Linked DNA regions of Drosophila melanogaster. The protein of the gene in region 2 interacts with the protein of the main gene of each other region in a pairwise test. Each region holds a gene or a part of one and is shown on either strand. Other genes may lie near its edges.

The links.
Region 1: the proteins of Syx8 (region 2) and Vti1b interact in a two-hybrid assay, tested with the Drosophila melanogaster proteins (one large-scale study listed by BioGRID).

Annotation. Positions count from the first base shown.
Region 1 is NT_033777.3:18,397,959-18,400,854, reverse strand, and holds Vti1b (vesicle transport through interaction with t-SNAREs 1b), read right to left. Parts: upstream 1,147-2,896; 5' UTR 1,064-1,146; coding exon 905-1,063; intron 845-904; coding exon 635-844; 3' UTR 516-634; downstream 1-515. Other genes in the region: Wdr37 (WD repeat domain 37), read left to right, coding at 1-28.
Region 2 is NT_037436.4:16,585,608-16,589,057, forward strand, and holds Syx8 (syntaxin 8), read right to left. Parts: upstream 1,451-3,450; 5' UTR 1,372-1,450; coding exon 834-1,371; intron 781-833; coding exon 620-780; 3' UTR 501-619; downstream 1-500. Other genes in the region: UQCR-C2 (Ubiquinol-cytochrome c reductase core protein 2), read left to right, coding at 1-417; CG32163 (uncharacterized protein), read left to right, coding at 1,762-2,193; l(3)73Ah (lethal (3) 73Ah), read left to right, coding at 3,245-3,350, 3,413-3,450.

The DNA of each region.
Region 1 (2,896 bases), on a different chromosome or scaffold from region 2:
GTCCATCGTTCTTCCGAAGGACAATTGAAGGCAACTGAAGCGGAGAGCTGCTGCACCAAAGGAATGAGGAGGCGCAGCTCTGCGAAATCCCAAACATCTCTCGAACAAAGAAGCATCCCCAAAGCGATGCCCACATACTTACATATATGTAACCGTTTATCATAGATCAAGTATTATGCAGACATTGTTCAGGATGTTCTACTATCTCGTTGTCGCCCACTGAATGTAATTAACGTTGCTTTTTGCCAAATAGTCGTGGCATAGCGTGCTGCACGAACTACATATTATCATTGTTATAGCATACGTATGTATATGCGTTGGGACTGGGCTAAACTCTTCGGAGTGCAGAGCTTCCGATGTCCAGACCCGATTTTATCTGTGTTTTACTACCATAATACATATTATAGACGTCTAAGGCATTAACGCTTTAGCCAACATGAATAAACATAATCAACCACCCGATTCATCGCTGGGTATATCCTAAAACTGACCTTTTTGAATTGGAAGTGCATTTTAGTGGAGTATATACATTTATAAGCTTATTAACTAGGACAAAGAATTCGTAACGATTAATAGGTATATATAGTCCATCGCCTGTTTGGTGGTTACGACTTTGGAATAGAATGGCATTGGCTCACAGGTGAGCGAACTTCAGCACCAGCAAGCCGACGAGTATGCCCACCTCCAGAATGATAATCAGGATTAGGATGATCTTGTTGTAGAGCACCTCCCTGCTCAACTTCCGAATGATGACCCTCGATTTGGACAGATCCTGATCGGCGTCCTCCAGGCGGCGCGTGGTGCGTAGCAGCGACTCCCTCTGCTCGCCCAGTTCGCCGAGTACCTGTTGATGCGTAAGCGAGCATTAGTTAGCCCTGTTAATGGCTACTATCTGGGTAATTACCTCCGCCCCCATGTTCTCCGTTTCGATGGCAATCTGGTTGGATCGCTGGATACTGTCCGTCGTCCGCTGTAGCACGTCGTAGGTGCTGGCCGCGAGCTGCGCCTGCCTGCGCTCCTGGTCGCTGCCGCTGGGCAGCTGGCTATAGCCGGCGTAGGACATAATTTGGTAACAGCTTTTAATAAATTAAATGCGATGCAGTGGGAATATCAAAACAAAACAAAGGCAGAGTGTGGCCGTGGTGAGCGGTGCAGTGAAAACGCTATTTGGTAAGGTACTAACGCGTTGTGCGTGGAGCCACCTGTTAACACTTTATGCACTTTACAGCACTTAAAACAGTTGAAATTTAAAATGAAACTGTTACCAAATTAGCTTAATATTATTTTATATTCTAAATTCTAATTAAAAGTTTAAATTGTAAGAAGTGTTAGTTCAATTGGTTTTTTTTTGAGATTGGCTTCCTCACTATCAACAAGCACATCTAGTTACTGCAAAAATATCACATATTAATGGTGATTAATTGGGTGATCCTAAGAGTGATTAGGTTTTTGGAAACTGACCATTTTTTTGGTAGACACATGTAGCACTCGAGGATTTTGACTTTAGTACGGGTATTTGTCGATTTCTGATTTGCGATAACGGTCACCGATCATACATAGTTGGCATGCCCGCGCCGAGAGAGCCGCCTGAATTCACAGGGTGTGTGTGCTGAGTAACAGAGAGTGCGAGGCATTTCGAGGCGATCGCGAGATTTTCGAACCGAAGTCGCGGCAGCGAGTGCCAAATTTAAACGCAGTCGATCGCTGGCGGTGAGCAGACGTGTGCTGCGCTCCATTCAGATTCAGATTCGAATAAAGATACTCTCGCTCGGCAACAAACAAGTTCTAAATTTATCGCTCGCACTCGCGGGGAATCGAATCTGGTGTGTCTTTGACATAAAAAGCGTTTTCGGAGCTGTGAAGGTAAGCGAAAAACTCGAAAAAACTCGAAGCAACTGGAAAAACCCGGCGGGTTCGAGGTGTAAAAGCTGTGCCACGGGTTATCCACCCGTATATATCCCATATCCCCTGTAAACTAGCCATCCAAAGCACGTGCTTTGGCAGCAGGGAGTATGTGCAATTAAGCCCAATTTGAATGCACTTTGGCACGTGATGCTGGCTGCTGACAGCTACTGGTCGGAAAAGTGAGCTTACTGGGGGCTGCGGGGCACACCTGTCATGGGACCCATTGTGCAAACACCTGCCAGAAGTCGCAGCTAAAGTCAGAGCGGCAGATACGCGTAGCGCTATCTCTTTCGTAAGCCCCGAGTATCTCTGAGATACTCAGGTACGCACCTACTACGTTCGCAGTGTGTGTGTGTGTTAGTCGAACCCTTGTCATGTGAATATAATACTCTCCAGAGTATCTGTGAGTCGCGCTCTCTTTGCAAAGTCGCGAGTTTTCGAGTTTTATGCAATCATCATAATCATATGGGGGGGTTCTATCATGTGATCTTTTTCTCGGGGTCTCGGTTTCCAGAAGCCTTGCGTCCCCACAAAGATCTCCAGCTGGAACGGAAACCCTAAAAGCTGGGCTCGAGTAGTTGCGAATAGCGCACAATAAATACCAGTCGATTATGATTTATGGATCGCTCTATAAATTGTCCAATGGCACTTCCAATCGATCAATCAGTATTGCGCTGATTAGCCACAGTCGCAGACCCAGTTTATGAATGGGGAAAATCTGATCGATTCTAGAAATCTAGCAATTTCACATCTGAAGTATAGTATTTTGCCGAGTTGCACACAAGTGCTCCTGGTCGATCGTCCAGTTAATTAGCTATATAAAGCCAAAGCCCGGCCACTCGAGTCGCCGATCTCCAGTTACGTAACTCTATATGTATGGCTTATCGGGGAAGTGGTCGGCAAACACTGCAAATAATGCTGACTTTGATGGCTTATTTTTCTGTATTCAATAGTATTGCGTAAAGAGGCTATTTATAAGGAGTTGATACTA
Region 2 (3,450 bases):
AACTGCGCCGGCGGCGTCGGAGCCTCTGTCAAGGCTGTGAATGCCAGCTACTCGGACGCTGGTCTGTTCGGTTTTGTGGTCTCCGCCGACTCCAAGGACATTGGCAAGACCGTGGAGTTCCTGGTGCGCGGCCTGAAGTCGGCTTCGGTGTCTGATAAGGATGTGGCCAGAGGCAAGGCTCTTCTGAAGGCGCGCATCATCTCGCGCTACTCGTCGGACGGTGGTCTAATTAAGGAGATCGGTCGCCAGGCGGCGCTCACCCGGAACGTGCTGGAGGCGGACGCCCTGCTTGGCGCAATCGATGGCATCTCGCAGTCGCAGGTCCAGGAGGCGGCCAAGAAGGTGGGCAGCTCCAAGCTGGCCGTCGGCGCCATCGGGCACCTGGCGAACGTGCCCTACGCCTCCGATTTGGCTTAAGTATATAAACACCTGTACATCTGTTAACCGTAATGTAACGACTAAATAAACCTGATCAAGGGGATCGATCCGCGAACGTAAATACTTATAAATCCTACTTTAATTGGTGTATACATAAATAATCAAACTTTGGGTTAACAGATAGACATTCCACGCAGGTCATAGTATAAAGTAGTATAACAACTGGAATGGATCGTGGGAGCTAGACGAAGACCACGACAATGATGGCGACGAACAAGGCTATGATGACGAGCCAGTAGCCCCAGGTACTGTCCCGCCGGTTAACCTGTCCAATGCTCTGTGTTTCCCGCTGCACACCCGTTTCCACACGGTCCATGGCATTGGCCAAGTTGTCAAGGATATCTACAAGGAGGTAGGGATTAGCATTGGTAGTGCAGGGACTGGGGAATACCCACTGTTCTGGTCCTCCACCTCGTTGCCCAGCTGTGTGGCCAGTTGGCGCTGTCTGGACAATGTGGCTGATAGAACCTCGAGTCCTTCGTTCTGCTGCGCCAGCATCTCGGTCTTTTTCTGCTTCAGAGCCTCCACATCCAAGGCGGTATTCCGCGAGGAATTGCTGTGACCTGGGCCGAGATCCTGATCCTGCCAAGCAGAACCGGATGCGGCCGGGACATTGGAGCGGCTACTGTTTGCGAACTTCTCGCGGATCTCGCGCAGCTGCGAAGTAAGTCTATCCCAGTCGATGCGCCGCTGTTGCAGCTCCTCCTCCGGGCTCGTCTCCCAGGTGATGGCGTTGTCCAGCACCACCTTGAGGTGCTTCATGTCCTTGGCCAGCTGCTCTATTCCCGTCTGAATGCTGCTTGTCAGTTGGACGAACTGGCTCGTCCTCGGATTGAGCTGCTGCCGCTGGTTGAGGTATACCAGCAGCTGATGCCGCAGTCGCTCGCAGCCCTCGTACTCGATGTCCCAGGAATCGTGATCCACCAGCGCCATTTCTCTGCTTTTGCTATGAGTAATTATCAAAAGCAGAAAACTACGCCTCCAGCAATCCAAGTAACAAAAACAAAAACAATAGCCGAGCAACAGCTGATGGCTGGTAGCAAAATAAGTAAGCGCGAGTACGGTCACATTGCCAGTAAGAAGGGATTCGGAAATAATCTTCAATGTTTGAACTGATTTAGATATTATACTTATGTAGCTGTAGATAAGCTGGAAAAATGCACCGCGATTAATCCCCAATCCTTTATCAATTCACCTCGCAGGTGCGTTGCTAGTGTGAACTATTTACTAAATAATTTAAGCTGGTCACTCGAAAATCGTCACTATGATGTGAAGTATGATTATTCGGCCCGAATTCCTGAAACTACTCACAAAAATTAAGAAATGCTTTCCAAATTGCTTCCAATTCTGATTCTGCAAGGTGGCCGAAGAACGTATTCCTTGTGCTCGAGAGATTACACCATCCCCACAAGTAACCACACCCTAACTGGTCAAATTTTAAAGGTTCCAAACCTAAATTCGCAGGAAAGATGTTTTGGTACGCACATTGTTGTCCGGCATAAGAGAGGTCGGTTCTACACCGACATTGGCGAGCTCCGGGCTGTATTGGTATACTCCATCAGGGACGGTGTGATGACCATCAACAGCACCAACGTCCCGGAGGAACTGGGCGGACATGGCATTGGGAAGCTACTGGCCAAGTCGGCACTGGACTACGCACTGTTGAATGGGCACTTCATTATTATAAGGTGTCGGTTTGTCCAGCACTACATCGACAAGTATGAGCCGCAATACGCCAAGTACATATTAAATTAGGGAACCGAAAACAAAACTTCAAAATTGTCGACACAATCAAACTGAACACAAATAAATCCCCCCACTATGCACATAGACACCATACATATAAACGTATATTTGCGTTCAGATTTGTTGAATTCCTTCGGTTTTTGAAAAATTACATGAAAATAATTTGAATTGGCTTATTTTTAAATTATTTCAAAATTTCTAAACCGAAAGGTAACAGATTATATTTAATGACGAAATTACGGTTTCTTATATAAGCTATTTTGTTATGCTTCTAAAAACAAATGTTTTATTACCTCTTTAAAATATGTAAACTAGTTTTCACAATATATTTTAAAAAATTGTTAATTTCCATATATACCACCTTGCATTGTGTGACCACCCTGAAATTAGCAAAGGGCGTTGCCAGACTCCGGCCACCCACGCACATACGATAGTTGGGACCGGCCCGGCGCGGTGGACAAAGTCACGGTATCGATATGGTGACACGATTCACCCACACATGCATGCATTGGGCTACGATGGCTGTGACACAAGGTGTGAAGAAATCACTGGGTTACAATGAGCGCTATTTATAAATATTTTGGAAGTATGCTGCAGGATTTCATAAAAGTAGTATGCAATTGGTATGCTTGATTCATATTGTTTAAAATTTGCTGTGCTACGTCAATTTTGTACTTGAAAAATATGGAGTCGTGACATGCCGCCAAAGCGGTGACTTGTCACGGTGAAATAATCGCGACTAGTAGCAGGTACGCAACTATCGCCCATCGCTAGCTCACACGTACACACAATTTATTTAGTCGTGATTTCTATTTTATTTGTTTCAAATTACAACCAAGAAGGAAACAAATCGCGACCAAAATCCGCTGGCCACAATGCCGAGTGCCTGTACAAGCGTGCGCGAGCATTCCCACTAATCGGAAGCGAGCGCATCCGCCGTTTTGAGCGTTTTCCGCGCGGGAGTGGGAAATCGAAAAGGCAAGGCAAGCCATCGGTCCGCTGCAAAATAGGGATAAATAGGATATAGTAACGTAGTTCAGCACACAATCGGGGGGCCAGCATGGAGCGGCGCGTGAAGCTGAAGACGATCAATCCGCACATAACGTGCAAGATCTGCGGCGGCTACTTCATCGATGCCACCACGGTGACGGAGTGTCTGCACACATGTGAGTTGGTCCGGCATGGAACACTACCTGCCCAATAACGTCAGTGTTTGTTGCAATTACAGTTTGCAAGAGTTGCCTGGTGAAGCACCTGGAGGAGAAG